Cricetulus griseus: one gene and its partners. The protein of the gene in region 1 purifies or fractionates together with the protein of each later gene. This does not show direct contact. Links are inferred from orthologs where the notes say so. Each region holds a gene or a part of one and is shown in the gene's direction. Other genes may lie near its edges. The genes, in order: Hck, heat shock protein HSP 90-beta and Cdc37.

Region 1 (10,571 bases):
ATCAATTCACCTATCCTTACATAGTTGACAAACATTTGAGAAGCAACGTTCTACAAGTGTAGTGACTTATAGTGTGTTTGTGTTGGTCCTAGCTCTCCCAGTAAGGCTCTGAGCAAGACACTTGGCCACTCTGTTGGCATTACTAGCCACCTCTGTAAGTGCCTACTATATGGAAGACTGTACTTATCTGTGGTACAAGCTTCAGGGCTAATCTCCCTATGAACCCTAGGAGACAGGCTTGAGGTCACAGCTTGGGGATCATGATGAGCTGGTCCAACTCTGGAGCCTTTAGCCATGATGCTCAATTATTTCCCAAGCACAGTTAGTATTCCTGCCCCATTGAGCTCACATGAGAACCAGTGGCGTATATGTGTCAGCCAATGGGAGAGCAGTAGGCACAGAGGGTGAGTGAACTCAGCAAAGCCATAGCTCACAGCCCTGGTTCTGGAACTTTCATGCTATGCAGCTATGCATTGGTTATTTACTTCTCTGGGCTTTCATTTTCTCTCCTGTGGAAAGGGTTAGCAAAACTATCTCCCCAAGCCTATAGGGGGAAAAACAAAAAAACAAAAAAACAAACAAAAAACTGTTTATCAGTTTATAACAAATAAGCTGCAGTATCATCCTAATAACTTTTGCTGTTCTTTTAAAGATACCCTATAAATTTTCCACACTCTTCAGGTCAAAGCCAGTCTCACTCCACTACAACCTCTGTTTCAGACAAAAATCAGTCTTGAGATTGCATTCAGAAAGTTGGGTCTGTTTCCAGTGCCTTTGACGCCCTCTGCTGTTCATTGTTTGCAAGTGCGCTACCTGGTCACTTCAGGCTTTGCAGTTTACGGGCCAGCCCTGCTTTGGTCTGTCTGATCAGACTCTGCCACCCCGGGATTCCCTAGGATAATCTCATCTGATAATTCAGTCTTTGCTCTCTAGAGTCAGCTTGGTTTGAAGCTGATATTCAGGACAAGTATCTCTGTAAAGTGGATCGTGATGATTCTACCTTCACATAGCTCCAAGATAGTTTTATAAATTGTATGTGCTGCTTTCTAGACGACCAAGATTCATCTTCCACCTCTTTTGTCCTAACCTTTATAAGCAAGAAAATCTCCAAGTCACAGCCATGTATCTTTCTACCAGAAGCTTCCAGAATAAGAATTCTTCACACTGCCCTCATGCCATGGGCTGGCCAGCCCGGCTGCCATCCCAGCTGAGATCTAGCTCTTCCAGTCGGTCCTCCCCAACATCTACTCCATCTACGAGCTGCTAGAGCATGTGGGAGGGCTGGTGCTGCAGACCCAGGTCCAGGATCATGCCATAACCGTCAAAGATGAAAACCTAAAGCATGGCTCTGATCGGAGATGGCAGCAGCCTGATACAGGACCATGGAGCAGCTCCAAGGAGCCTGAGAAACCCATGGAGGCTCACAGGGGAGATGCGTCAGTGCGGGAGGAGTCTGAAGAGCCTTGGTATCTGTGGAACAACTTTTTAAAAGGCAGATCCTGTGGGAAGATGTTTTTAAAGAGTGGGCTCACCAAATCGGAAGATGGCAGAGCAGAACCGCGTATGGAGAATGAGGAAACTAAAATGCAGAGATGAAGGGTATGGGAGCAATGGGGGACAGTGCCACTGGGGCTGCCACCGCTGCTTACCCTCGTGGGCTAGGAGTGTGTGTTGGTGCGCAGTACTGCCTGCGGGCTGCAGGCACAATGATTGTGCCCGGTGAGCCTCGGACCTGCCAGCATCGAGAGCAGAGAGGTGTGCGGTGGACTGGAGCTCTCTCAGATCCTGCCCCTGGATGCCTGCCTAGCCACAAGATCACCCTGACTCTAGGCAACAGCCAGATATCCAAAACGAGTCTCAGTGATGGTTCAATATTTATGATGCTTCAGAAACCAGAAACCTTGAACCAAACTAATGACCCATTGCAACGAATATTTGAATGTAAAGCTGCGCGCGCGCGTGTGTGTGTATGTGTGTGTGTGAGAGAGAGAGAGAGAGAGAGACAGAGAGAGAGAGAGAGGGAGAGGGAGAGGGAGAGAGAGAGAGAGAGAGAGAGAGAGAGGGGGAGGAGAGAGAGGGAGAGAGAGGAGAGAGAGAGAGGAGAGAGAGAGAGAGAGAGAGAAGAGAGAGAGAGAGAGAGAGAGAGAGAGGGAGGGAGAGCTGTGTGACACACTGCGGGTTTTCAATGCTACTTCAACAAACAAATATGAGACGGATAGGTGGGAAAGGAGGAGGAACAATGCGGCATGTGCAGGATGGAGAGAGGCGGAAACAGAGATGTAACATTGGTGGCATGTGGGAGGAGGCTGCAGTGGACATGGGACAGAGGAGCATGTCATTGCTGAGTAGGACTGGCAGGGTGGTGTGCAGCAGCCTGGAGCTTATGCAGACTCTTTCCAGAACACACTGCCCAACGGCACTATCGTCCTGGCTCTGATAAGATGTCCAAGATTAAGAACAGCTCATTCTCTGCTTTTGGGCCACCTGGAAAGACCCCCATCATCCATGCTGCCCCTGGAGGCCTTGTCAGTATCTGTGGTCCATGCTAACAGCTGGAGGACATGCTGGTATCCGTGGTCTGTGTAGCTAGCCACTCTATCCATGTTGATGCCCACAGTCTTGTTGATGTCTGTGGTTTGTGCCGCCACTGGAGGCCATGTTGATATCTGTGGTCCTGCTACCACCAAAAGCCATGTGGATGTCTGTGGTCTGTTCTGCCACTGAGGGCCATGAGGGTGTCCATGGTCCATGCTCCAGCTGAGGGCTATGTTGATGTCTGTGATCTGTGTTACCACAGAAGGACAAGTGGATACACTTGGTCTTGGTTGCCACTTGAAGCCATGTTGATGTCTGTGGGCCATGCTGCAGCTGAGAGCTGTGCTGCTACTGGAGGACATATTGAGGTCTGTGGTCTATGTTACCAACAAAGACCATGTAGATGACTGTGGCCTATGCTGTCACCTGAAGTCGTGTTGATGTCCATGGTCTGTACTGCCACTGGAGACAATATAGATGTCTGCGGTTCATGCTATCGCCAGAAATCATGCAGAAGTCTGTGTTGTCACTGACTGTAAAAAGCAAGGCAGCCGGGCATTGGTGGCACCTGCCTTTAATCCCAGCACTCAGGAGGCAGAGGCAGGCAGATCTCTGTGAGTTGGAGGCCAGCCTGGTCTCCAGAGCGAGTGCCAGGATAGGCTCCAAAGCTACACAGAGAAACCCTGTCCCAAAACAACAACAACAACAACAACAACAACAAACAACAACAACAAAAAAGAAGAAGCAAGGAAGCTACTTTTGTAGTAGTATTGATGACTGCAAACTCACAGTTGAGAAAGAGGGACATAGAAGGCTTCTCTGATTACCTCCCCCCATCCCCACCCTACCCTCCCTGCAAAAAGAAACAGTCTAGACAGGAAGTCATTGATAGGAACTCTTAAAAACTGTGACAGGAATGCTAAAGTGTAGCTCTTCCCAGTTGATGCCTTCTGGCAGGGGTGAGGGTGAGGAAGGACTCAGTTTTCTTTAAGGGGCTGGCCTGGGAGTTTGATCATGCTACAGTGAGTATATAGGCAACCCAAGATGGACTTGTGGGGTTTTTTCCCTTTTCTTTTTTTCTGGGAGGAGGTCACAGGGTGGGGTGGACCTGAGAGAACTGGGGAAGTGAGTGTAATCAGGTGCGTTATGTGAAATCCCCAAATAATCAATAAAAATGTTATGTTAGAAAAAAGAATTCTCTTGAGTTCTTTACTAGAGTTTAGTATGTGACGATGACACTGTCTCTTCCGGGTGCAGATTTCGGAGGGCATGGCCTTCATTGAGCAGAGGAACTACATCCACCGAGACCTCCGGGCTGCCAACATCTTGGTCTCCGCATCCCTGGTGTGTAAGATTGCTGACTTTGGCCTGGCACGGATCATCGAGGACAATGAGTACACAGCCCGGGAAGGTAGGGGACGCTGCCCTCCTGCAAGGGCTGGGAGATCTGAGCGTGGACACCTGTCAGAGAGACTGGAAACAGCTAAGGTCTGTCCTAGACTAACTCTTGCATCAAGTTTGACAGGGTCCTTGTGCACAGTGCCTTCGCTGACAAAATACCCAACAAAGGCTACTTAAGGAAGGCTTTATTTAATTTGGCTTATAGAGAGGACAGCCTATCATGGTGGGTCAGTAAAAGCATACAACTGGTCACATTGTGTCCACAGTCAGGAAACAGACAGGCAGATGCTGGTGTTCAGCTTGCTTTTTCGTTTTTATGTGCTGCACAGCCAGTGGGATGGAGCCGCCCACATTCAGGATGGGTCTTCCACCTCAACTAACCCTATTCGGGAAGTCCCTCACAGACATGCCCAGGGGGCCTTCTCCTGGGTGATTTTAGATCCTGTCAGGATGACAATGTTAATGTCACACACACAAGACTTGAAGAGGAACATTTCAGACCAGACTGACATGACAACTTCGGCAAGTACAGGTAGCAGTGAGGGGTGAGAGTAACTTTATGCACAGGAGACAAAAACAGAGCAATCTAAGTGTCCACAGACAGGGTGTGCATATCAACTGTATCATACAGGGGCTGGAGATGGCACTCAGTGGTGGAGGCTAGACTAACACAGAAGGCTATAGGTGTAATCCCCGTCACACTACATCAATGCCACCTGCAACTAAAGGGGAGATATGACATCCAAATGAAAGAGGCAAATCTAAACAGAGCAGATACCAGGAGGTTCCACAGATAGGCAAAAGTGAAGCCCCAGACTGAAATACCCTAACTGATGCCCATTAGCTGATGAACACATGAAGAAAATGTGGAGTATCCATAGCACAGAATTATGCTTGTGATAAAATGGAACGGAGTGTTGAAAGGCATGCGATGTGGCATACACTGGTCTTGGAAACATGCTAAGGGGAAGCCAGGCACAGATACAGATATCTGTTACCCTTGGTATGAACTTCCCAAGTGAGACAAAGACAACTGTGGTTGCCTAGGGCTGGGGGGTGGGGGGACTTGGGAGAAAGGGGTTCTGAGTGCTAGGGATGGGACTGGATGACATGTAATGAAAAAGTCTAAAATTCACAACTCTTCCACTATTATAAAAGTCACTGGAGTACACACTTTAAATGTGTGGATTTTATGCCCTGTAAATTATATCTCATTAAAGCTGTAAAATTCACTTATACATACAAAGCTGTGAACAGGGGCTAGCTAGAGTGGGGAGATACTGCCCAGGAGGAGCTGGAAAGAGCCTTCTGAAAGCCTTCTGCAAATGTTCTCTGCCTTAATCTGATTATCACAGGGGCTACTCAGCTTTGACCATCAAGTTAGACCTTAAATATCTGTACACTTTAGCCTAGTCTAGAGGTATAAGCTTGTAACCCCAGCTACTCTGGAGACTGAGATCACAAGTCCAAGGCCTGCCAGGACAAGTTAATGGTCCTGTCCTGTCTCAAAATAAAAAGTAAAGGGGCTGTAGTTCTGTGGCAGAGCACATGGCTAGCATGTACATTGTGCTAAACTCAATCTCAAGTAACACACACACACACACACACACACACACACACACACACACACACACCATTTGATTTCTGTCATGATTGGATAAAGTTTAAATTAAGTACAAAAATATAAAACGAAAAGTTGGCTATATAATCTAAGTCTGTAGAGAATAAGCGAGATATGAAGAAAACTCTAGATATAAAAGATGGCAGCTGAAGATGTTGCTTGATAATAGAGTGCCCGCCAAGCATGTTCAAGGTTCTGAGTTCACGTCTTAGTACCACATAAAACAAAAGTATGCAATAAAGAAAATGGCTGGCTTAGAGTTAAGGATGTAGATCCCAGCACTCAGGGATCTACATGAGTTGGAGCCAACCTGTAACGTGTAAACGCTGTCTCTCGAAAAGAAAGGAGGGGCTGGAGAGATGGCTCAGTGATGGAGAGCTCTTGGTGCTTTTGCAGAGAACCTGGGCTAAGTTCCTAGCACCTACATGATGACTTACAACCATCTATAACCCCAGTTCCGTGAAACACTTATCTAAATTGTTCATTATTAATAACTTAGGAGTCAGATGTTGGGGTAAAAACCTGATAGATCAAGAAAGCAGAGAAGAATGACCAGCTAACCCTGTCTCCACACTTCCCAGATCAAAAAAAAGGGGGGGGGGGCATGGAAATCTTTCTAAGCCCCTCCTTATTCCTTTCTGTGTCTCTCTATCATATTCTGGGTCCTCCAAAATCTCTATGGCTAATTCCAGTCAGTTAGTCATTGACTCCACCCTCTGATTCAAGGCCAACTTTAAATAGTCTCAGAGTGTCACAGTGAAATCAAATATCCTGCAACATTCCCCCCTTTTTGTCTAAATAAAAAGTAAAGATTTTTTATTCTAACACAGTAAAATTATATACAATAAGAAAATTTACCAGGTATTATCTTTAAAAAAGGAAAAGTTTTAACTCTAACATAGCAAAACTATATACAATAAGAACAATTATCAGGGGGGCTGGAGAGAAGGCTCAGAGGTTAAGAGCACCGGCTGCTCTTCCAGAGGTCCTGAGTTCAATTCCCAGCAACCACATGGTGGCTCACTACCATCCGTTATGAGATCTGGTGCCCTCTTCTGGTGTGCAGATATACATGGAAGCAAAATGTTGTATACATAATAAGTAAATAAAATCTTTTTTAAAAAGAACAATTATCAGGTAAGAATTACATTTACAATATCCATTTGTATTTAGCAAATTCAGAGAAATTACTCTGTTATCTATCCTATTTTGCTGAATCCTAAGTTTTATACCTAAACCACTTTCTGTCATAACTTCTATTACCATCCTAAAAATATCCTTTTAGACCTTAAAACGTTTTCTTAGATAAACAACTTAAACTTTTATGTCTCTCAACCTTATAAACCTTACATCTCTTTTCTAAGTTTCTTTTCTGAATTTGGTAACAAAGAAAATGTTATATCTAGTCTTCAACCCCTCAGAGACCCAAGAAGGGTGTAATATTACCCAAGTAAGCAGGAAGTACAAAGCAAACAACTTCCAAAACCATAGAAATGCAGAGACATCTGGCTGTCTGGACAGTCACCCCAGGTTCCTCTGCAACACTGGGTGTGCATCTTTGTACAGGCCTAGAATATCTGACAGACATTTCTGTGAAGCAGGAATTTTGAAAGACTGCTCTACTTTGTCTTGGCAAAGTTTGGCAGTTGTCTTCCTTTGTGTCCTGCTTGTCCAATTTGGACAGCATACTATCAGCAGTTGAGGCAAGGGCAATTTCTTGCCCAATGGCTAACTTTGCCAAAAATGAAAGCAAATTCCATATGGAGGTTCTTCGATGCCCATTATCTTCTCTGAAGTGATTGGTGCTGCCAGAAGCAGACGTATCACACTGTCATGAAAATCCTTATGTTATCAAAACATCTTAAATGCCGTATTCTGTAGATCTCTGAAGTGTATGAAGACCATCTATTTATCTAAAATATAGCTCTGACCTTGAAAACATACCTAACATGACTGCAAGTTTATCTTAAATGGTTTATAATAATAGCTTTCAAGGACTAGAACTTTACATTTTAAAATGAGCTGCATAGGCAAAATACCTTAAACAAGGGTGTAAACATATACACAGTATGTTAAAACAAAAATAACCTTAAATTTGTATCAATATACAAAACTCCCTTAAATGATAGTAGAAACATATATACAGTATGTTCTAACAAAAGTAACTTTAAATTTGAATCAATATACAAAAATCCATACCAATGTAAAATATTTGAGATTAATTGTTGCTTTTTAGTTTAAAAGTAGATTCAATAATCTACCCTTTTATCCTATCATTCTTATATCCTCCCTTTTTCATCTTTTCAAAAAGAGATCCCTGAATCTGACCGCCTTTGCTTAGTTTCCTCTCTGGCCATGACCAATAACAACTTGCAACTAACCCCTCCCTAAATGATGATAAATATCCATAACCCTCCAAACAACCAAAAAACACCCCCACCTCTTGGGAATATGGATGTCATGTTCTTTTGGGGGGGGCAGTTTCGAGATAGAGTTTCTCTGTGGCTTTGGAGGGTGTCCTAGAACTAGCTCTTGTAGACCAGGCTGGTCTCGAACTCACAGAGATGCGCCTGCCTCTGCCTCCCAAGTGTTGGGATAAAAAGCGTGTGCCACCACCACCCAGCTGGGTGTCATGTTCTGTTTTTTTAAGATTTATTTATCTATTATGATTTAGTATGTGTACAGTGTTCTATCTGCACGTTGCCTTCAGGCCAGAAGAGGGCACCAGATCTCATTACAGTCGGTTGTGAGCCACCATGTGGTTGCTGAGAATTGAACTCAGGACCTATGAAGAACAAGCAGTGCTCTTAACCACTGAGCCATCTCTCCAGCCCGGGTGTCATGTAAAATTGTTTCCTGTTTTCTGGTGGCAAAGACATCTTTAGGGGACCCTGGGAAAAATGAGATAATGGCCAAGTCCTGGGAGAGCTAGCTATTGTCCAGTCTTGGTGTGATGGGAAAGGTCAGTGCTTACTTGAAGTCCTGGCTGGAGTAGTCTAGGAGACTGGACCATCTTAACTGTCTGATTTGAAGCTGTCCTGAGCAGTTTGTAGTCCAAAGCTGATCTTTGGGTTGTGTTTGTCAGCTTAGTGGCATTATCACAATCTCGGGGGATTCATCACTGCAGGGCCCCCATCATCTTCTCAGAGACCTCAAAGGTCTCCAAGGAATGGTCATGGTTCCCTGCAGAAAGTGTAAACATTTTAAAAATCATATGTAGCAGATTGCCAAGAGGTTAGAGGACCACAGTCTGTTAAATACATCCAGGGTACACAAACTTAGTTCCTAGTTATCTGCTTCAGACTCAAGCCCAAAATCACATACAGGAAGCTAGATAAAGCTTATTTCCAGAATTAGTTAATACTCTGTATAACCATTAATATCATGACAAAGTTTAAATATATATGTATATATCCTTATAAAATTTAAAATAATATTTATAAATTAAGAGTATTAAAAGAAAGTATTCAAGAGTCAAATGGAAACCAAAGGATGATAACATTAATGGCAATAGAATCGTCCCATACATTTTGTTTTCTTCTGTCCCATACGAGGTTGCTCTTCTGACATGAGACAGGGATTTTGCATTTTCCTTTAACAAACATCTGTGGGCTTAGAGAAGGAGAAAGAGAACCACACTCCAACTCCAAAGCCAGCTTTAATTTTTAATTGAATTGGAACCACAAAAAGGCCATTTGCCTCATATGTCTGTAGAGAAGTTGCAAAGATTGGGAACACTAATTCAAATTAGCGTCATGTGACAGAGCCATGAGGGTGGAAAGTGGCATGGGGGGAAGGCCTTAGTCACTGGTGTTGGCAGTGACACTGGCTCTTTCCACAGGCAGGAGCCAGCCCTAAGAGGAGGCATTAGAGTTGACACGGCAGTTTGGACTGCAGCAAGAGTCTGTGGCTAAGCGTCCTCAGATCCCTCCCTGGGTCCTGGTTAAGTCGCTTTCTTCCCCTGATGCTGCTGCTTTCGTGATGAAGCCAGTCAGGGTTATGTCCAGCTCTGAAAGGCTCCCGTGCTCATGGGTGCTTAGGGTGATGTGTGCCTTGTGGACATTAAACCGTTAGAGATGGTGGTCTAGCTTCTCAACCTATAGGACCACTCTGGCCATGAAGCCAAGCGCCCTACTGAAGTCTTTGAAATGGAACTGCTTGAAGCTCTCTAGCTCTTCCCACCTCTCAGCCCTGCTGCTGGTCCTGCCCCTCAGCATTCAGCCTATATCTCTGCCAGCCATGATGGGGCATGGACAGCAGATGGCAGCAGAGAGCGATTGAGAGCTGGGCTATAATCTCCAACACTGACTTTCACCATTGTGATGGTGCAGAAATAGTTGCATTCAGAAGAAATGATGCAAAGGTGAGCATGGTGGCACATGGCTCCAATCTGGGAAATAGGGGGGTGGAGGCAGAAGGATCAGGAGTTCGAGGCCAGCCTAGGCTATAAGAGAGCCTGTCTCATAAGAATGAATGAATGAATGAATGAATGAATGAGTGAATGAGTGAATGAGTGTGAGAGTGAGTGAGTGAGTGAGAGTGAGTGAGTGAGTGAGTGAGTGAGTGAGTGTGCTCACCATTTGGATATTGGTTTCTTTCCCAGTCTGGTGATATGCTGCTGTCTTCCCTCATGATGCTAAGTCAGAGCAGTGAGCTACAGCTCTGATTTAGTCACCAGAGGAAACACAAAGAAGCCACGGTGTGACGCTGCTGAACTAAGTGTTAAGTGAGCTAAGTGTTCAAGGCATTTTTAACTTCTGGTTTTTGCCTTACTGTGGGTTTAATCGGAAAATAATCCTAAATCTAGGAGCAGCTACAGACAGACCATGTTCACCAGTCAGACTGGAATGAAGACAAATACCCACAAACAGCTAACCAAACCCATCCTAGGGGGAAGGAGGGAGGGGTAGGGAAGGGACACCCAGTGAAGGGCAAACCTCAGGCAGCAGCTGAGGTCCCTCCTGCACCCCATGGCTGGGGGTGGGGTGGGCTGAGGTATCAGCTGTAACCTGGA
Region 2 (10,300 bases), on another chromosome or scaffold:
TAGGAAGGAAGGTGTGGGCGGTGGCGTCGGAGACCTTGGCCAGAGCCGGCAAAGAAAGGAGAGGAACATTTACAGAGCACGGAGTGGCCATTCTCTCCTGGTGGGCTCATCAGCCCAACTCGCTTCCAGAGGCGGCCTTGGAAAATGGCAAGGCTAGACGGACAGGCGAGGCCTGGACAGACAGCCCAGTGGGAAGGCAGGGCGGAGGTACTAGCGCAATTTGGTTCTGGCACCTGGAACTGGGCCAACCCGTGACTAGCATCTTCACGCAGCTGCCTAGAGCTCCCGCTAATCTGATAAGATGGAGATCTCCCTCTCCCTAGGTCCAAAGAGCTGCAGGAGGCAAGAGTGCTAGAAAAAGGGAAACCAGCTTGAGAAGCAGCTTGCAGTGCTCGCAAAGGGAGGGCGCACGGCCCCGTGCGCCTTGTCCGTGGGCCACCTCGGAGGCTGGGGGGTGGGGAGTGTCCCACCCATCAGTGTGGGGTCCCCGGTCTGTTCACAGAAAGGTGTCCGCAGTCACTCACCCCCGCAGATCACGTGCCCTGCGACCGATCCAGGTCAGCCATCCCTCTCTCTGGGCGCCATCCCGCGTTCCACCCCCGCCCCCCCCCGCAGCAATGTGGGGCTCCCAGGGCCGGGGTCGTCTAACCATAGCGCACAGTAGGAGCATTGGGGGGGGGGACACAGTTCGGCATTAAGAGCCGGGCAGTAGGTAGCGCCTAGCCGAGCGGCTGCCCCCGCCGCAGCGGGGGGAGGTGGAGCCTCGGGGGGAGGGGTTGAGACCGCCGAGACAGCCCTAGAAACTGCTGGAAGAAATCGCAGTACCGCCGGCGTTGCTCCTTCCGCCGCGCGCCGCCAAAGAGTCCCTGGCAGCCCAGGCCCGCGCCCCTCCCGCCCGAGCAGCTGCTCGCCGCCTGCAGCTGCGGCCCCGTTCCGGAGGGTGGGCATCGGGACCCCCTCCAGCTGGACAGCGAATGTCCCACTGTCCTGCTCTCTCCATGTAGGGAACACTCTGGGAGGTGGGCTCAGAGAACGGCAGCCGAGTTAGCCATCTCGGTGCTCTTGCGAGTCGGGGGTGGAGGCGCCTGCCTCGAGGTTTCTGGGGGAGTCGGCGGGATATCCGCGCGTGGACACATCCCTAGCAGCATAAGCGCACCCCGTGGCCCTCATCTTGCCATGGCCTTGTCCTGGTCGTGCAGGAGAGGCCTCGGCTCGCCGCACAGGCCCCGGGTCGCCCCCCCTCCCGCCCCCAGTTGCTACCATGACGTCAAGGTGGGCGGGCGGCGGCAGGTGCGGGCGGCGGCCCCGCCCCCTGAGGCGGAGGGATCCAAGGGCGGGGCCGAGCTGTGCTTCGCCTTATATAGGGCGGTCGGGGGCGTCTGGGAGCTCTCTTGAGTCACCCCCGCGCACACTAACCTCCGCGTGCGAGTCGGTCGCGCTCCGAGCCCACCCGGCCCTGTACTACTACTCGGCTTTCCTGTCAAGGTAAGGCCGCGGCCTCCGGCCCTGCGGCTTCCCGGGGCTCGTTCCCCGGGCTCTCCCCCCCCATTCGCATCCGTCCTAGAAGGTCCCCGCCCAGCCGGGCGGCCTGTGGGCTGGTGTACCCCGAGCTGCTTGCGTCTGGCCCCGCGGGGTGGCTCGGCGAGGCTCCTTGGGGCCCCGGGTTGGGGCCCCGGCGCGTGAGGTGGGGGCGCGGCCCAGCTGTGTGCAAGGCAGCCGCACGTGGTAGGCGCCGACCTGGGACGCTGCCATGTTTGCCCTCCACTTCCGGGCGCAGCTGCAGGGTCCGAAGGGGCCGCGCGGTGGCGGGCTCCGCGGCGTGACTCAGCACGGCCCTGTGAGGCTGGCCTGGCCGCCTCCTTTGGACGCCTTTCCCAACGTGGTTGGGGTTCTTGGGCGTGGGGGTCGTCCACGGGGTGGCAGGGACGCTTGAGCGCACTGCCATTTGCCTTTCCAGATCTTTCCTGCGCTCCGGGGAAGGAGGAGGAGGAACCCGGAGGGGGCTGGCACGGGAAGATCCATTGGTCCCTCCCCTACCCCTCCCCTACTCCTCCCCGCCCTGGAGCTCAGATTGTTCTGGAAGCTCCTGGTGCCCCGCCCCAGTGCCCGGATGCTGGGGCAGTGGGAGGGTTGCGGTGGCGCCCCCTCCCCGATGGCTGCCGCCGACGCGTGTCCGGCAGTGACGAGGGTCGCTGGAAGGCTCGGGCCACCATTTTACTTGTGTTCAGGGCTATGCAAGTCTGCGCAGTGAGAGAGGTCATGGTGGAGCTTTTACCTCTTTGTCCTGGTTTAATTGCTCCTTGAGTGCCTCCATGACTGCAGCCTCGGGTTCCCTGCTCCTGCTAGGATGGAGCGGCACATAGAAATGGCTGCTGTTTCTGTTAGTTTCTTTTTTGCCCAAATAAAGTTGTAAAGGGTTTCCTGTATATGTTCACCGGGTAGCTAACGAATTATCATTTCTTGAATTTTAACAAGGTATGTTGTCGGGTTGAGCCTGTTTGAGCTGTAGTATACCGTTTTGGCTGCGTTTGTTTGAAGAACCATCCATCCTTTGAGTTTTTTCCGTTTTCGGTTTACCAGCTTACTGTAGCTTTTCAAGGTCTTTTTAAAAATGGCGGTTCTCATCCCTTGGGAATGGATACTACTCAGCTTAAAGCATTTTGAATTGGAGTTTAAAGTGCATCCATCGTTTTAGTAATTAATGTGTAATGCTTTCTTAGATGCCTGAGGAGGTGCACCATGGCGAGGAAGAGGTGGAGACCTTTGCCTTCCAGGCAGAAATCGCCCAGCTCATGTCCTTGATCATAAATACTTTCTACTCAAACAAGGAGATTTTCCTTCGAGAATTGATCTCCAATGCTTCTGATGTGAGTATCACAGCTTCATAGAAGCCCAGTGAGGGATTGAGAGGAGTCTGCCGTGGGTTGAGAGCCAAGACAATGTTTGCAGAAATGGAATAATGTGGCTGTGTGTTTATTTACAGGCCTTGGACAAGATTCGCTATGAGAGCCTGACAGACCCTTCCAAATTGGACAGCGGCAAAGAGCTGAAGATTGACATCATCCCCAACCCTCAGGAGCGCACGCTGACTTTGGTGGACACGGGCATTGGCATGACCAAAGCTGATCTCATAAATAACTTGGGAACCATTGCTAAGTCTGGCACAAAGGCTTTCATGGAGGCTCTCCAGGTGTGTGGCCCTATATCCACAACATTCTCAATACTGCTTTTGACTTGTTAATTTTTCAGTACTTGTTTTCACTAGTGATATGGTAGGCTTTTAACCTATGGAGATCAGAGGATTACTGGCCAGTAGGTCCCAGGGATTGAACTACTTGATAGTTACACTTGAGTTCAGCAAGCACTTGTGCAGAACCATTTTACTTACCTCTTAACTTTTAAAATCCTTTGGCAGGCTGGTGCAGACATATCCATGATTGGGCAGTTTGGTGTTGGATTCTACTCTGCCTATCTCGTGGCAGAGAAAGTGGTTGTGATCACAAAGCACAATGATGACGAGCAGTATGCTTGGGAGTCCTCTGCTGGTGGATCCTTCACAGTGCGTGCAGACCATGGTAAGCTGCCTGTCCTCGTTTGGATGCTTGGTAGAATTCTCTGGAGGATAGAAAGTCCAAAGTCTTGATCATGCACTGTTTAATCTCAGCACTTTGGAGGCAGAGGCAGATGGATCTCTTGTTTTAGGACAGCCTGGGCTACATAGAAGCCCTGTGTCAAAATGGGGAGCAGGGGGTTGAGTATTTTGGTTGTAGTTTTTTTGTTTGTTTTTTTTTTCTTCATTGTGGTTTTTTGAGACAGGGTTTTTCCTGTGGCTTTGGAGGCTGTCCTGGAACTAGCTCTTGTAGACCAGGCTGGTCTTGAACTCAGAGATCCTCCTGCCAGGATTAAAGGCGTGCACCACCCCACCGCCCAGCTTAGTTGTAGTTTTCTATGTCTTGATTCTATCATTCACTTTTTTATAGGTGAGCCCATTGGCCGGGGTACCAAAGTCATCCTTCATCTCAAAGAAGACCAGACAGAGTACTTAGAGGAGAGGAGGGTCAAGGAAGTGGTGAAGAAACACTCGCAGTTCATAGGCTATCCCATCACCCTCTATGTGAGTATGGACTTGGCAGTATTTGAGCAGTCTTTGCTGGTGATAAGTTCTCCACAACTCATTATCCAATTTGGTAATTTAGTTGGAGAAGGAACGAGAGAAGGAGATCAGTGATGATGAGGCAGAAGAAGAGAAGGGTGAGAAAGAGGAAGAAGATAAGGATGATGAGGAAAAGCCAAAGATTGAAGATGTGGGATCAGATGAGGAAGATGACAGTGGCAAAGATAAGAAAAAGAAAACAAAGAAGATTAAGGAAAAATACATTGATCAGGAAGAGTTGAATAAGACTAAGCCCATTTGGACCAGAAACCCTGATGACATCACTCAAGAAGAATATGGTGAATTCTATAAGAGCCTCACCAATGATTGGGAGGACCACTTGGCAGTCAAGGTGAGAAACCTTACATGGTATGTTAATTGGAGGGGTACATAGAATGTGCTGGAGGTGGTACCAAGCAGCTTGTTCAACTGGACATCATGACTGTCTCTGGGAACTACTCAGGCCTTGCTTGGCAGTGGTTTAATTCACTTTTTTACCTTCTGGTGGTGGCCATGACTGCCATGGAGGGATACTTTTTGCTACTAGTATTCTAGGTTTACTTAGTATTTGAGCTAGTTTCTCATCGTAGGGTTTTTGGGGTGTGGCATTTCAGTGATAGATCTCTGATACTGGGACTTGAGGTGATGTTGTCCTGAAATGTACTACTGGGTTTTTCAGCACTTCTCTGTAGAGGGTCAGTTGGAATTCAGAGCATTGCTCTTCATTCCTCGGCGAGCTCCCTTTGACCTTTTTGAGAACAAGAAGAAGAAGAACAATATCAAACTGTACGTCCGTCGTGTGTTCATCATGGACAGCTGTGATGAGCTGATCCCCGAGTACCTCAGTGAGTATACCTTCAGCATACAGCTGAGACTATCTTTAACCCAGATAATTACAGTCCTTGGCTTCCCAAACCTTCACTTGGCTGGGTGACTTAAATCTGATAACCAGACCAGGTCTGACCCACCTCACCTGTTCCTTGGCTCTGGTTGATTGTAGACTTTATCCGTGGCGTGGTGGACTCTGAGGACCTGCCCCTGAACATCTCTCGAGAAATGCTCCAACAGAGCAAGATCCTGAAAGTTATCCGTAAAAACATTGTGAAGAAGTGCCTTGAGCTCTTCTCTGAGCTGGCTGAAGACAAAGAGAACTATAAGAAATTCTACGAGGCCTTCTCCAAGAACTTAAAGGTATAGTGAGCAAGTGATTTTTCTTCTGATGACTTTGTGTTGAAAGTATTTTTTTCAGCTCATATTTGGACTTTTCTTTCCTACCCTTAAAGCTTGGAATCCATGAAGATTCCACTAACCGTCGGCGTCTCTCTGAGCTGCTGCGCTATCATACCTCTCAGTCTGGAGATGAGATGACTTCCCTGTCAGAATATGTGTCCCGCATGAAGGAGACACAGAAGTCCATCTATTACATCACTGGTATGTTGGAGGGAGCTTGGGTCTGAGCACAAAGCTGCCTTGAAGGTGTGGGATTGGGGAAGACAGGACATGTTGCAGTTATAAAGGCCTTTGGTCACTGAGTCTTTAATCCTATAGGTGAGAGCAAAGAGCAGGTAGCCAACTCTGCCTTTGTGGAGCGTGTGCGGAAGCGAGGCTTTGAAGTGGTGTACATGACTGAGCCTATTGATGAGTACTGCGTGCAACAGCTCAAGGAGTTTGATGGAAAGAGTCTGGTCTCAGTGACTAAGGAAGGCCTGGAGCTGCCAGAAGATGAGGAAGAGAAGAAGAAAATGGAGGAGAGCAAGGCAAAATTTGAGAATCTCTGCAAGCTCATGAAGGAGATCTTGGATAAGAAGGTTGAGAAGGTAAGTTTGTTGGAAGTTTGTCCTCTAGAAATGTTATGCTGTTGTACAGTTAGTGTGGGGCCCTTCCCCCAGCAATACTGTATCTGTTGGTGAAGTAAGAACTTTTTTTCATATAACAGTGATTACACCATCTAAATCATACATGCAAGAAAAGGCCTTGTTGTGTGTTTCCCTGACCCTAACCCAGCATCCAGAGTAGCAGCTGAAGTTTTGTCATTCCACAAAGAACTTTTTATGTGGCTCCACATGGAGTGTGTGTCAGGACAGCCAAGGCTACATCTTGTGACTGACCATTTGGTTGTCCACAGGTGACCATCTCCAATAGGCTAGTGTCTTCACCCTGCTGCATTGTGACAAGCACCTATGGCTGGACAGCCAACATGGAGCGGATCATGAAGGCCCAGGCACTCAGAGACAACTCTACCATGGGCTACATGATGGCCAAAAAGCACCTAGAGATCAACCCTGACCACCCCATCGTGGAGACTCTGAGGCAGAAGGCTGAGGCAGATAAAAACGACAAAGCTGTCAAGGATCTGGTGGTGCTGCTGTTTGAGACTGCTCTGCTCTCCTCTGGTTTCTCACTTGAGGATCCCCAAACCCACTCCAACCGCATCTACCGCATGATCAAACTAGGCCTGGGTGAGTCAGCCTTGTGAGCCACATAGGTGGCAAGTTGTTGGACTGGCTGGATCCCCGCACAGACTTAGTACTACCATTTTGCTCAAGATTTATTTTTCTTTTTCTAGGTATCGATGAAGATGAGGTGACAGCAGAGGAGCCCAGTGCTGCTGTTCCTGATGAGATCCCCCCACTCGAGGGTGATGAGGATGCCTCCCGCATGGAAGAAGTAGATTAGAGATCCCCTGGGAAGACCATGTCCTCTGTATAGTTTCCCTGAGCCCCACCCCCCATGCCTTGGCTGGCCCCAACCTACCTGGCTCTCTGTTCAAGCTAGAGGATCTCTTTATCCTGTCCTTGTGCCTTAAGGCAGGAAAGTCCCCTCCCACAGAATAGCAGGGTTGGGTATTGTGTATTGTGGTTTTGTTTGTTTTATTTTGTTCTGAAATTAAAAGTATGTGAAAATAAAGAAAATGCAGTTTCATATAGTACTATTCTCCTTGTAAAGTACCACTCAGGATGGGAGGTAGTTCCCCTTTCAACCAACCAACACACGGCCAAGTCACTGCTGCAGTTTTAATCAAATAAGAGCAAAAGGTGACATTCCCAAGTAGCAAAACTTGAGCAAGGAACACAAAGGCCCCAAAGGGGCTGGGCAGGGCTTTGTTTGGCACAGCACCATTTTCACTAGTGTGCCCCCCTACCCCCCAACCACATTAGGACCTGTAAACTTTGTGCTGCTCTTGACCAGCTATGTCTGGCAGTCTTGCGGGTTGGGTGTTAAAGGAAAAACAAGCAAAGGCTAGGTGCTGGTTTACAGTTCTACCAGCTAAACCAAGGTCTCAGGTTGTGGGGAGGAGCTCTATCTGGATTATCTCCATAACTCAGACCCACAACTACCAAGTAAGTAGGTGGGGCTCTTAAGGCAAAAGAGGCTGCCTCCAGGGCTCCAATCCTCTGCTGTACACTGAGATGTTGAAAATAATTTTGCCCTTGAGTCAGCGCCTCTGATAAGCTACAGAAAACCAGAGTGAGGGTCCTTAGTCCTCATACCTTCTGCACTGGGGGCTCAGTTGGTACAACCTTCTTTCCCCGCTGCTTACGGCCCCGGGCATAGACTCTGAGTAGGAGGGCAGTGAAGACCACAGCCACTCCCAGTCCCCCCACCACAGTGACAGTGTGGCCATAGAGGAGGCAGGAGAGAAGGATGGCAATAGCCTGGCGGAGAGTCATGATGATGGTGAAGACAGCAGCTCCAAATTGTCCAATGGTATAGAAGATGAAGAGCTGGCCAAAGGCAGAGCAGATGGAGAGGAGGAGGGCATGAAGTGCAAACTCACTGTGCCGTCCCATAAAGCGGGCTCCCTCCAGGAGGGCCCCCTGCTCCAGTAGTGAGCCTACTGTGAAAAGACAGGAGAATAAATTGACCCCAAACATCATCTGCACTGATGACATCTTATAGGCAAACAGGGCATCCTGCCAGTTTGAGGTGAAGCTGTCAAAAGCAATGTAGCCTGCCAGTAGAATCAAGCCTGAGAGTGTGGTGGCTGGAGAGCTTCGGGGCTCTGGTCCACTAGACAGCAGAAACATGCTAACTCCAATGGAGATGAGGCCGGCAGTCAGGTATTCCCAGTGTTCATAGCTTCGTCTAGACACCAGCTTTCCCATCATCATGACAGGAATCACCTTGGAGGCCTTGGCCAGCACTTGGGTAGGGAAGCTGACAAATTTAAGCGCTTCGTATTGGCACCAGCTGCTAAGCACGTTAGACAGACTGGCAAAAGAGTACCGGTACATGGGTGCCCCATGACGGGGTTGTTTGCGTAGGACACAGTAGAGACCTGCCACGATCAGTGCCAGCACACGGTTCATTAGCACCAGGAACTGTGAGTCCATGAAGTGCTCGCCTGGTGATGTGGCGGTGGCCCCATAGCTGCCGGTCATCACTCTTTCCTGCAGTACACCCCAAGTCAGATAGGACACCTGGGAGGAGGAAGGGGGAAGAATGGTAATGGTAAACAAGAAAAGAAGGTGGAAGTCTCACTTTTCTCTCCTCCTTGGGATGATTGTATACGATGTAACAACACCATCCTTTCTGGTTCCTCTCTAGTAGAGGCTTCTTTCCTAAGATTTAATTCATCTTGTAGAGAATCACATGGAGTTGCAAACACAGTGACACCTGTTTTAGGATCACACCCTGTCCATCTTCTTAGCACAAGTTCATTAGAGCTGGCTCCATATACCATATAGTCTTATTTATTTTGAACCAATTCAAAATAAACTGGAATGTTTGGAAGCCTCAGAGAAGGCTGGCCACTTTCCCTTTGACATATATCTAAGTAGGTTGGCATCCACTCCAAACCATGGCCTGTGACAGCACCCTACTCACAAAGGCGGAATGGCTGCCTCAAGTTTTGTGTGTGTGTGGTCCTGGGGAATCGACTGTACTTGGTAGGCAACTACTCTACTAATGGGTTATATCCCTAGAGCCCCTCCCACAGTATTTTATTATTTTGAGACAGGGTCTTGCTATGCAGCTCTAGTTATACTAGAACTTGACATGTAAACCAAGATGATCTCCAACTCCAGAGATCCACCCACTCTGCCTCCTACATGCTGGGACAGACATACCTCAACACTTGGTTTATTTTATGTTTTAACAGAATCTCACACTAAATTGCTCAGGCAGGCCTTGGATTTTTTTCTTCTATTTTATTTTAGTTTTTATTTTTTGGCTTTTCAAGATAGGGTGTGTCTGTGTAGCTCTGGCTGTCCTGGGACTTGCTCTGGAGACCAGGCTGACCTCGAACTCAGAGAGATTCTCCAGCCTCCAGAGTGCTGGATTAAAGGCATGTGCCACCACTACCAGGCGCAGGCCTTGAATTTTCAATTCTTTTGCTTTAGTTTCCAAACAGGTGGGTTGACAGCTTGCGCCACCTTGCTTGGCTTTCCCAAAAATTTTGTAAGTGAGCTCATACATTAGACACAGTACACAGAGCAGTAAAAGAGCACAGAACAAAAATACAGAAAAGACAGGCCCTCTTCCACACTAGACATCATTACAGATTGTATGGTGAACTTTTGGGAAGGTGTTGAAGGAGGAAAGGATAAGAGGAAGAGAGTAGCATTTCCTTCAACACTTTCAGGGAGGGACTGTCCTCCAGGGACATAAACCATACCTAAATCAACAAACCTTTGGTATGGGCAGGACAACTTTGGCTTCCATTAAGTCCCTGGCTGTCTGTACCCAACCTGGGAAGAGAAGGGGAGCCTGTCTACTTACCTGGAGCCCCGAGGCACAGAAGATCAGCTTCAGGACCTGCCAAGAGGGACTACTGTCTGCTGTCTCTGTCCGGGGAGCCAGTGGAACCTCATCAGAGGCCTTGGGCTCATTGCCAAACACACAGGCCTTCACCAGGGGAAAGCAGAGACCCCTGCCTTTAGAAGACACACAAGGTCAAGCTCCACAACTTCTCTAGAGCAGCCAGCCCACACCCCCTCACCACCCCGTCTGACCCACTGGCTTCCCTCCCTTCCCAAGTAACGTTCAGCTTTGAGTATCTACCAACACCTGCAACCGTACCTCGCTCACGTCCCCACCCTTTGACCACATTACCTGTCTCCAGGTAGTTCTTCCGTCTTAAGTATTGCACCAGGAGGTAGCCAGGTACCATAAAACTGGCATAGCCAGCAACATTCAAGAAAAAGC
Region 3 (11,344 bases), on another chromosome or scaffold:
GAAAGAAAGAAATTGCATTTCTTTATTTATGTGGGGAAGGGAAAGATGGCTATGTGTAAACACTTTGCCATCAGTGTACACGTGGAGCTCAAAGACAGGAGTCAGTTCTCTCTCCACCATGTGGTCCTGGAGACAGAACTCAGATCTTCAAACTTGATAGCAAGCCCCTTTACTCACTAAGCCATCTGGTTGACCCCTTCCTCACTTTTTTTTTTAAATTTATTATGTATACAGTGTTCTGCATGCCATGTATCCCTGCAGGCCAGAGGGCACCAGATCTCATTACAGATGGTTGTGAGCCACCATGTGGTTGCTGGGAATTGAATGCAGTCCCCTGGAAGAGCAACCAGTGCTCTTACCTGCTGAACCATCTCTCCAGCCCCCCTTCCTCATTTTTATAAAAATGATGTTCAACTCCTAGGTAAGAGAGCAAGGCAGGATGGCTAGCACCTATCATCTCAGCAGCTGGGGGTTAAAGGCAGGAGGATCAGGGGTCTAAGGCCAGCCTGGGCTGTGTGAAACCCTGTCTCAAAAAGAAAAAAAAGGGGGGGGGGGAAGAGTGACTAATTAGTTCATGACAGCACTCTTTCCTGTTGCCCAATTATCTGAATATAGGCTGAATTTTAGTTTCCTTCACTTAGGATTCTTTTTCAGGGTCTCACTGTGTGTTCCTGGCTGTCCTGGAACTCATCCTGTAGCTAAGGCTTACTTGGAATTCACAACAATCACTCTGCCTCTGCCTCTGTCTCCAGTGTGCTGGGATTAAAGGTGAGAGTTACCATTCCAGGACAGACTTTTGTTTTCTGAGACAGGATCTCTTGAAACCTAGACAGTCTTCAAACCCCTTGTAGCCACTGTCAGCCTTGATCCACCTTCCTGCCTCTACCTGCCAAGTGCTTCAAGGTCAGGCATTCAACACCTCCATTCCTGGCAGAATTTCCATCGTGACGGTAAGTTTACATGCAAAGACTTATTTATATGTGGATCTTGCTCCCTGGACAACTAGGAGCAGGGAACTGTAAGTGTCTCCCCTTTGCTGCAACACCAGCCAACACCAACGTGGCTGACATTTACAGTATGGAGTTGGAGAATAGGAATGAAACAACACGGAATAAAGGCATGTTGGTCTCCTGGCTTGCCTTAGTCTCTGCCTGTAGTTACTGCTGTAAGCAGATGAAGACAGAGGCTCAGAAATGGAACCGCGGGGATATCTGGGATCTGGATGCAGTTAAGTGGTGTTGGCAACACCCCAGCCTCAGCCCCGCCCCGGAGCAGTCTCAATTCCCCCTCCCCTGCACTCTACAGAAGCAAGATACACTACTGTAGGGTTCTCTGGGGGAAGGTGGGCTACCAGGGATGCAAGATAGAGAAACAGCTGTAAGTACTTGGGGCCTGGGTGCCTCTCCCTGTCCCCAGGGGCTAGACACAGCTGGTAAAAGATTAGGAAATGCTTGGTGATGATGGGGATTCCCGGAGCCCTAATCCCAGCTCTCTGCCATTAGGCAGCCTAGAGGGGAATATCTCCTCACCTACCAGAAAATTCTCAACAGCCAGGGTTACACACACACACACACACACACACAGAGTGAGTGAGTGAGTGGTGGGGTGGAGACCCTACAAGAACGTACCAAGCCAAGGGTGGGAGAGCTGGGGGAACCCCATGATCTTAAGGCCCTGCCTCCCAGGAGTCGGGTTCCCTTCCCAACACAGCTCGCAACCCCCAAATTTACCTTGCTGGGAAAGGGGGCTGGAGAGAGGAGCCACTCCCTCTCTGGCCTGGGGTCGGGACAGCGGAAGGGGACAAGTGTCCAGACCCTTTGTTTGGTGGTGTGTGTGGGTGTGTACAGGGAGCCCCTCCGGGTAAGGTCCGTCGTGCGCGTGCCCGGGCTGGGGTTGACCGAGGCTGGTGAGGTGGACTGCCAAGCTGGGGGAGGAGGGGAAGGGAACAGAGACCCCTTGCTCTGCCCGCCCACCCTCGGGTGAGCGAGAAGGGGAGGGTCCATGGCGGGAAGGAGCTTTTATGCCCACCACCCCCACCCCCAATTTGCAGACCTTTATTCGCTCCAGACAGCCCTTTCTCCAACAGCTTCCGAAAAGCTGGGAAGAGGAACCCGCCCCAAGCCAAATGGATAGAACTCCTCTTTCCCCCTGACCCCACCGCAAGACGCATCCCTTAAACTGAGATAATCCTGGCCTCAGGCTGCAGCTCCAGTTTCTAGATCCTCTATCAAAGCTTGGGGAGGTATGTACCACCTGGGTATCTCAAGCTCAGAAAAAAATGGATTCCCCCAAGCCCCAGCCGAAATTCAGGGGCTCAGGTGAGCTGGAAGAGGCTGTGGGCAGCCCCAGATGGCTGGGGAAGCCTCTCTAGAGCCTTCTAATTTCCCCTGGGCACAGGGCTGGGAACGCTGGGGTTGTTTAGACATCAGCGACACCCAGAGGCTGTGCAAGGAGGCACTTGAGATGGGGGATTCTGGATGATTCCAGAAGGCTGCAGGCGCTGAGGATCCTGCCTACCAGTGGTGCGAGATGAAAGTCCCCGGACAGGGTCAATTATCATCCTTTCTGATCCCCAAGCCTGGGCAGGGCTGTAACGTTGGCCACTTACCAACCCTCGGACTGCAAAAGTTCTTTCAAACCCACCGCAGGGTTAAGTCAAGGGGCAGGTCTTCAAGCCTTAGCCTTCGGGCGGGCGTTCCAGCGGTAAAGACACTTGCCACCAAGCCTGAAGACACGAGTTTCAGCCCTAGGATCGTCCTTATGGAAAAAGACAAATGAGTTACAAAAGTTGATTTCTGGCTTCAACATGCGCATTCTAGCACTCGCTGCCTGCCCCATAAATAAACCAGTGTAATATTGGTTTATTTATTTTGAGATAAATTCAGTCTACATAGCCCTGGCTGTTCTGGTACTCACTAGGTAGACTAGGTTATCTTCAAACTCACAGAGATCTGTCTGCCTCTGCCTCCTGAATGCTAGGATTAAAGGCGTGAGCCACTACTGCCTGGCCAATAAATACAAATATAATATTTTAATATAATATATATTTAATATATATTATAATAAATATAATATATAATATTATATATATTTTTTAAGTACTGGAGCTGAGATGTTTGCCGCAAAACCTGGATGACCAAAGTTTGATCCCAGGACCCATAGGTAAAAGGAGACAACCAATTACAGCAAATTATGATTGTCACATGTGCAGCCTGGTATACACACACACACACACACACACACACACACTTTTTTTTTTTTTTTTTTAAAGGACTGGGGTCAGAGAGAGAGCTCAGTTGATAAAGGCGCTTGCCACTAAATTTGATACGGGGGACCCACGTGGTGGAAAAAGAGAACTAACTCCAGCAAGTTGTCCTGATATTCACATGTACACACACACACACACACACACACACACACACACACACACACACAATTAATTTCATAAAACTGATTATTCAAAAAAATGGCCGGGCGTTGGTGGCGCACCCCTTTAATCCCAGCACTCAGGAAGGCAGAGGCAGGCAGATCTCTGTGAGTTCAAGACCAGCCTGGTCTACAAGAGCTAGTTCCAGGACAGCCTCCAAAGCCACAGAGAAACCCTGTCTCAAAAAACCAAAAAATAAAATAAAACATCTGGAGCTGGAGTTACAGACAGTTATGGACTGCTATGTGGGTGTTGGAAATTGAACCTGTGTCATCTGGAACAGCAGCCAATGCTCTTAACTGCTAAGCCATCTCTTCAGCCCCTGAAATGTAATTTAAAAAAATAAATTTTAAGGGCAGACCCAGTGTAGTGGAGCATGATTTCAATACCAGCATTGGGAGGCAGAAGCAAGGAGATCTGTGAGTTCAAGGCCAGCTCAGTCTACATAGTGAGTTCGAGGACAGCCAGGGCTACATAGTGAGACCCTGTCTTGAAAAAAAAAATTTTTTTTAAGAGTAAAAATCGGGGCTGGAGAGATGGCTCAGAGGTTAAGAACACTAACTACTCTTCCAGAGGTCCTGAGTTCAATTCCCAGCAACCACATGGTGGCTCACAACCATCTGTAATGAGATCTGGTGCTCTCTTCTGCTGTGCAGGCATACAAGCAGGCAGAATGTTGTAAACACAATAAGTAAGTAAATAAATCTTAAGAAAAGTAAAAATCTGTCGGGCACTGGTGGTGCTCGCCTTTAATCCCAGTACTGGTGGGGGCAGAGGCAGGTGGATCTCAACTCATTCCAGGCCAGCCTGGACTACAGAGCTAGTTACAGAACAGCCAGAGCTGTTGCAGCTGTTGAAACCCTGTCTCAACTCCCACCCCACCCCTAAAAAAAACCGCAAAATTTCACTCTTTTCTGTTTGTTTTGTTTTTCAATACAGGGTTTCTCTGTGTAACAGTCCTGGCACTCGATTTATAGACCTGCCTCTGCCTCCTGAGTGTTGGGATATAAGGCGTTTCTTTTTGGTTTTTCGAGACAGAGTTTCTCTGTGGCTTTGGAGCCTGTCCTGGCACTCGCTCTTGTAGACCAGGCTGGCCTCAAACTCACAGAGATCCGCCTGCTTCTGTCTCCCGAGTGCTGGGATTAAAGGCGTGCGCCACCAACGCCCGGCTCAATTTTGATTTTTTTGAGACAGAATCTCACTGCGGAGCCCTGGCTGGCCTGGAACTGTGTCGATCAGGCCTGCCTAGAACTCGCTGAGAGTGGCCTGACTTTGCTTTCCAAGTGCTGGGACTACCGTGGGCCGACAACCCCTAGGCAACTACCTTTTTTGTCCCCAGGGGATGCTCGGTTGGGTTTCGGCGGGAACTCCCAGAAGGCTGAACAACGTGAGCCTGGCCCTTTAAGAATCACCTCCGGTCGTCAGTGCCGCCGAGTCCCGTTGCTAAGGACGTGACGTCACGCGCGGATGCTGGGGCGGGGCCGTCGTGCGCGGCGCCGTGAGCGGAAGCGGAAGGGGCGGGGCTCCGCGAGCGGACTCTCTATCCCTTGTGGGTCCCTGTTCAGCGCCCGGCCGTGTGGAGCGCCGGGAGCCAATCCGGGCCTCCTAGGCGAAGATGGTGGACTACAGCGTTTGGGATCACATCGAGGTGTCGGACGATGAGGACGAGACGCACCCCAACATCGACACGGCCAGCCTCTTCCGCTGGCGGCACCAGGTGGGGCTGTGCGCGCGCATCCCCTTCCCCCCACTCCCGGGACCCCCCGCTCTAGAGTTCTGACCTCTTACCCTGGCCGCCCTGGTTCGGGCGGGTCGGGGGAAACTCAGTTATTGACATCGGGAGCCTCCTATTCCACAATCTGAACTTTCTGTCTCTCTTATTTTTTAAAAAAAATCGAACCAGGATCTCACTATAGCCTTGCCTGGCCTGGAACTTGCTATGTAGACCAGGCTGGCCACTAACTCACAGAGATCCGCCTGCCTCTGCCTTCCCAGTGCTGGGATTAAAGGTGTATACCGTCATGTGGCCTGGACTGTTAAATTCCATCCCAGGACTTCAGGATCACTGGGCTTCCTAACTCTCCACGGTCATCTCTGGGCTTTCCCCGCTGCTATCTCTTTTATTTTATTTGTACATTTGTTTGTTAGTTTACTTGTAGTGGTGTGTCTTGTGTGCTCGTGGCACAGCTTGTATCTGTAGATTAAAGGACAGTTAACAGAAGTCAGGCCTCTCCTTTCACCACGTTGGAACTGGGCATGGAACTTAGGTCACCCCAATTTGCCACAAGCACCTCCTATACACACTGAATCTTCTTATCAACTCCTAATACTTTCATCAGAGTCTAGACTCTCCAAACGCCGGCCCTTGTGAGTAGGGGTCCCCATCATCCTGTATGGAACCTTTTTTTCTCCTCAGAATTCTTTCTCGGAGTCCAGAACTCAGATTCTGTTAGGCTCTCCCTTGTTCTAGCCATGTGCCCACTGCTGATTGAACACCTCCCTTCTGCCTCTTCTCAGCCCCTGGAGTCTGGGTCCACGATACTTTTGATTTGATTGGGGCATCTACTTCCCAGGATCTTAAGCACAAATTTACATTAAGGCCCAGAGATACCCTGCCCCCAACTCCCAAACTGAATGAGAACTGTGTCTTACACTTAATTTCCCGATCTTAGCTTTCCGCTGGGATTCCACAACCCAGGGTCCCTTTCCCTGGAGTACAGACCAGAATCCCACTGGGGACTTCAGTCCCACCTAGGACTTCTCTCCATGTGGCCTCCAGCTCCACTGCTGCCCTGTGGCTTCCCTTACTCTTGCCTCCTGTAGACGCTTTTCCCCTTATTCCAGGAAACCCTACCCACTTAACTTCCGTCCAGAACCTCTGCCTGCTCCTTTATAGTAAGTAGACCCCCATCCTGTCCCTGGCTCCTGTATGAACTTTGGCCATCATTGAATACTCACCAAAATAGGAGCCGGGCAGTGGTGGTACACGCCTTTAATCCCAGCACTAGGGAGGCACAGGCAGGCCTGTGAGTTCCAGGTCAGCCTTGTTTACAGAGAGAATTCCAGGACAGCCAGGACTACACAGAGAAACCCTGACTTGAAAAACAAACAAACAAAAAACAGAAAGAAAGAAACTCACCAAACCTGAGCTCAGAACCCCAAACCTATTCTATCCTTCCCACCCTTTCCCCTGCAGCCTCCTTGGCTTCTCTGCAGTGTTCAAATCATCCTACTTAACTGGGGGAATCTCCTGGATCTTATCCCAACATCACCTTACTTCCTGAGCATGATGCCACATACCTTTAAACTCAGGTCTTGGGAGGTAGAAGTAGGAGGATGAGAAATTCAGTCAATCCTTGCTACATGTTAAATTCTAGGCCAGCTTGAACTACATGAAACACTGTCTCAAAAACCAAATAGGCTGGTGCTCAGTTGTGTGTCATTGCCTTGCACTGTGTCTCCAGCAGTGCTTAAAAGCTAGCCATGGTGGGACAGGCCTGTAGTCCCAGCACTGTGGAGATGGGAACAGGAAAGTCAGAAGTTCAAAGCCTTCAGCCACATAGTAAGCTTGAGGCTGGCATGGACCACATGGGATCCTGTCAACACCCAAGCAAATAAAATAAAATCCTACACATTTTTTTACATCTGTCCAGAACAGAGTCCCCCAGATTCAGACCTTAGAATCCCGTGTGTTTGAGCCATGGTTTTCCACCCCTCTTCTGCCCGGCATTGACCACGGGACAGTAGTGTACTACCAAGATCTAAGGGTGGTCTGGAGATGTGGTTTAGTGATAGAGCTCTTGTGTGGCATGCAGGAGGTCCTGGGCTCCATCCATAGCACAACAGTAAAGAGACAAGGGTCTAACCTGCTCTCCCAAATCACAGCATCTATATCCACCTACCTGTGTGCTATACCCTGTGCTTAAATTGTATTTTATTCATTTGTGTATACACTCCTGTATGTGTAAATGTACATGTGTAGTCCACGGAGGATAACTTGGTGGAATCTGTTTTCTCCTGCCATGTGGGTTCTGGGGATCAAACTCAGGTTTTCAGGCTTGGTGGCAGACCTTTACCCACCGAGCCCTCTCATTGGACCCTGAGTTTGTTATACTCTCAAGCTTAGGGCAGGTACTTTCTGGTTAGGAATTTTGCACCCCATCTTCCTGAGGGCAGCTCCTGCTCATTTATCTGGAAGCTCCTAGAAGGTCCTCCCTGTCTCCCCCAAATTAGTGTCTGTCCTCCACCCAATTCACACACCCATTCCTTCCAGTTTCCTAGGATGACTGCCTGCCAGGCAAGCTGCCAGCACTGAAGACCCCCTTGTGGTTGGTGAACTCTTCTCAGGAATAGTTTTATGAAGAGGTTCATCTTCCTACTTTGTGGAAAACAGTTGGGGCCTGCTGGGTGGGAGGAAGGCCTCCCCTCTACTAGTACAGAGCCTGCTTCCTGTCTTGCTGCTGTGGCTGTAATACTGAGGAGGGAAGTGGGGCCTTCTGCCCCAGCATGTGGGAGGATAGGCAGGCTCTGGTGGACATTCCAACCTTGCCTCTTGTGCATCCATCTGTGATTGGGCTGGACTCATAAGCTCTGAACAGAGAGGCCTGATTGATAGGTCACATTCCCTGATGTGCTATGGCTTGCAGGGCTCTGGTTGGCTGCTCTGTGCCTCAGTCTTCCTGAGAATGAGTAGGATCTCTGTGACCCATAGGGTTGGTACAAGTTTCCTGATATTTAATAACTGATTCCCTTGGGGTAATACTTCCTGTCAGTGCTTTATAAGTGTGCCTGTGGTTTCCAAACAAATTCAAAGCCAGATGCCATAGTGCATGGCTGTCATTCAAGGCTATCCTTGGCCACATAGCAAATGGAGGCCAGCCTGAGCTACTTGAGCCCCTGTCTAGAAATAAACAGCAAGGGCCCTATAAGGTAGCTCAGCTGGTAAAGGCACTGGTCACCAAGCCTGATGACCGAAGTTTAATCCCTGTTATTCACATGACAGAGAAAACTGACACAAGTTGTTCTGTGACCTCCACACCTCACACACACACACACTGTGGCACAAATCCCAATTTGGCCCAGTGTGCAGGCCTATTTTTCCAGCTACTGGGGAAGCTGAGGCAGGAGATCACAAATTCAGAGCCATTCTCAACAATGTAGAGTGAGGTCAGGGCCAGCTTAGACACTATAGTGAGGCCAGGGCCAGCCTAGACAGTGTAGGTGAGGTCAGGGCCAGCCTAGACAGTGTAGGTGAGGTCAGGGCCAGCCTAGACAGTGTAGGTGAGGTCAGGGCCAGCCTAGACAGTGTAGGTGAGGTCAGGGTGGCCTCAGTAATGTAAGGAGACACCGTGCAGCTCAGTAGCAGGCCACTTGTGGAGCAGATGTGGGGCACTAAGCTCAGTCCCCTATCTCCTAGGCTCTGTGGCCAGACATGTGCTATGTGGGATTTCTTCTGGCTCCTTCCAATGTCAAAATTCTGAGAACCTCAGGGTCCCTTCTGTAAGGAACCCCTACACCGTCCTGTTACTTGTGCCTGGGTCAGCCTGCTGCTGCCCCTTCCATGTGAAAGGTGTAAGCCAGGCCGGGCAGGTGGCCACTATCTATCTTCAGCACCATGCCCCCCCCCCTTTCTTTTGTTAGCTTCAGCCTTCCTGGCAGCTGCTCAGATGGTGGCCATCCTCCAGAATGCCAGCAGCCTGTCAACTTCCTGTCGCTGTCTGGGGCCAGCAAGGTGCTGACCTTAGAGCCCTTGGGAGAACATGACACAGGCCAGGGCTGCCATAGAAGGGGACTTTTGTTGTCATGTGTGCACATGAGTGTGGATTCATATGCAGAGGACAGAGAAGAATGTCGGGTCCTGCTTCATCTCTCTCTGCCCTGTTCCCTTGACAGGTCTCACTGAACCTGGAGCTAGGCTGGGGCCAATAAGCCCCAGCCTTCCTCCTGTCTGATCCCTACAGTGCTGGGGTTGCAGGCAGCACAATTCTTTGTTGAATACTGGGGATATGAACTCGGCTTATCCTTGCACAGTGCTCTTCCCTGGGAGCTATCTCACTGTAGTCACCTATACAGTCTCCAACCTCCTATGGTCCTTACTTTAGTGCTTTGGGTGTGTCTGTATTTTCTTGTCTGTGTATGTTTTGTTTTGTTTTTTTCTGGACAGGGTTTCTCTGTGGGATGGTCCTGGCTGTCCTGAAAGTCACTCTATAGACCAGACTGGCCTCAAACTCACTGAGATCCTCCTGCCTCTGCCTCTGCCTCCTGAGTGCTGCCCGGCTCTCTGTGTTTCTGTCTCTCTTTCTGTGTGTCTGAAAGTGAAAAGCCAGCCATGGTGCCGCACACCTGTCACTCTAGCCCTAGGGACAAAGAAGCAGGAGTCTTACCACAGATTCAAGGTCACATAGAAACACTCTCAAAACAAAATAAATTAAGCTGGGTTATAGTGGCACACGCCTTTAATCCCAGCACTCCGGAGGCTATGCAGAGAAAACCTGTCTCTCAAAACGTTAATAAAATGGCTGGGGATGTGTACTTGACCCTAAGTTCAGCCTCTAGTACTGCACTCACACACATCTATATAGCCACACTTTTTTGGGTTTTTTTTTTTTTTTTTTTTTTGCTTTTTCGAGACAGGGTTTCTCTGTATAGCTTTGGAGCCTATCCTGACACTAGCTCCGGAGACCAGGCTGGCCTCAAACTCACATAGATCCGCCTGCCTCTGCCTCCCGAGTGCTGGAATTAAAGGTGTGAGCCACCAATGCCCGACTATATCCACAATTTTTTTTTTAGACTTTATTTATTTATTGTGTATACATTATTCTGCTTCTATGTATATCTGCACACCAGAAGAGGGCACCAGATCTCATAATGGATGGTTGTGAGCCACCATGTGGTTGCTAGGAATTGAACTCAGGACCTCTGGAAGAACAGTCAGTGTTCTTAACCTCTGAGCCATCTCTCCAGCCCATATCCACACTTTTATGACAACTTTGTAATGGGTTGGGTTGGGTTGGGTTGGGTTGGGCTCGGTTGTGCACACCTTTAATCTCAGCAGGTGGCAAAGGCAGGTGTATCTTTTGAGTTTAAGGCCATCCTGGTCTACAGAGTGAGTTCCAGGACAGTCAGGGCTATACAGAGAAACCCTGTCTCAAAAAACCTAAATAAATAAATGGCTTTCTACGGGTCAAATTCTTGGTAAGTGAAGAATCTTTGGCGCATTTAATCTGTTTATCTGTTTAATGTGAGTGTGTGTGTGTGTGTGACTGTATGCATGCATGTGAGTGTGGTGTGTGTGAGTGTGTGTGTGACTGTGTGCATGCATGTGAGTGTGGTGTGTGTGAGTGTGTGTGTGTGTGTGTGTGTGTGTGTGTGTGTGTGTGTGTGTCTAGGAATATGCACTAGTGCTATGTGGGGAAGTCAGAGAACAACTTGGGAATCCCTGCTCTTTCCACCATGTGAGTCTCAGGGCTGGAACTTGGATCATCAGACTTGGCAGCAAGCATTTTTACTCTCTGAACCATCTCACTGGCCCTAAAATTTATTGTATTTACTTGAGCTCATAGAGATCTACCTGCCTCCGTCTGCCCATTGACGGGATTAAAGGCATTTGCTACCATGCCTGGCTGTAAATTTTATTTCAAGACAGGACTTGCTGAGTTGCCTAGGCTAGCCTGGTATATACTCAGTCTTCTGCCTCAACCTCCCTGAGTGCTTGGTCACAAGAGTGCTCCACCATGGGCATTTGGGTTTTTCTTTGGTTCTGTTAATGGTGCTGGTGCAACCTAAGATGTCTTCAGATGGTAAGCAAGGGCTAGCAAGGTGGCTCAGTGGGTAAAGGCACTTGCCACCAAGCCCGACAACTTGAGTTCCATCCCTGGCACCCACACAGTGGGCTCCCACATTTCCTCTTTGTGTGTT

The links.
Region 2: the proteins of Hck (region 1) and heat shock protein HSP 90-beta purify together in Homo sapiens (affinity purification with mass spectrometry; 3 studies listed by BioGRID and IntAct, with this or other methods). This does not show direct contact. The link is inferred for Cricetulus griseus from reciprocal best matches to the Homo sapiens genes HCK and HSP90AB1.
Region 3: the proteins of Hck (region 1) and Cdc37 purify together in Homo sapiens (affinity purification with mass spectrometry; 3 studies listed by BioGRID and IntAct, with this or other methods). This does not show direct contact. The link is inferred for Cricetulus griseus from reciprocal best matches to the Homo sapiens genes HCK and CDC37.

The regions. Positions count from the first base shown.
Region 1 is NC_048599.1:26,864,071-26,874,641, reverse strand, and holds part of Hck (tyrosine-protein kinase HCK), read left to right. Parts: intron 1-3,792; coding exon 3,793-3,946; intron 3,947-10,571. UniProt on the Homo sapiens protein: Non-receptor tyrosine-protein kinase found in hematopoietic cells that transmits signals from cell surface receptors and plays an important role in the regulation of innate immune responses, including neutrophil, monocyte, macrophage and mast cell functions, phagocytosis, cell survival and proliferation, cell adhesion and migration.
Region 2 is NW_023276807.1:31,882,537-31,892,836, reverse strand, and holds heat shock protein HSP 90-beta, read left to right. Parts: upstream 1-1,346; 5' UTR 1,347-1,485; intron 1,486-2,720; coding exon 2,721-2,867; intron 2,868-2,983; coding exon 2,984-3,190; intron 3,191-3,415; coding exon 3,416-3,575; intron 3,576-3,980; coding exon 3,981-4,114; intron 4,115-4,196; coding exon 4,197-4,505; intron 4,506-4,832; coding exon 4,833-4,998; intron 4,999-5,153; coding exon 5,154-5,344; intron 5,345-5,436; coding exon 5,437-5,584; intron 5,585-5,701; coding exon 5,702-5,970; intron 5,971-6,278; coding exon 6,279-6,612; intron 6,613-6,719; coding exon 6,720-6,829; 3' UTR 6,830-7,075; downstream 7,076-10,300. Other genes in the region: Slc35b2 (adenosine 3'-phospho 5'-phosphosulfate transporter 1), read right to left, coding at 7,639-8,574, 9,875-10,029, 10,208-10,300. UniProt on the Homo sapiens protein: Molecular chaperone that promotes the maturation, structural maintenance and proper regulation of specific target proteins involved for instance in cell cycle control and signal transduction. Undergoes a functional cycle linked to its ATPase activity.
Region 3 is NC_048597.1:134,003,404-134,014,747, reverse strand, and holds the start of Cdc37 (hsp90 co-chaperone Cdc37), read left to right. Parts: upstream 1-4,930; 5' UTR 4,931-5,042; coding exon 5,043-5,144; intron 5,145-11,344. UniProt on the Homo sapiens protein: Co-chaperone that binds to numerous kinases and promotes their interaction with the Hsp90 complex, resulting in stabilization and promotion of their activity. Inhibits HSP90AA1 ATPase activity.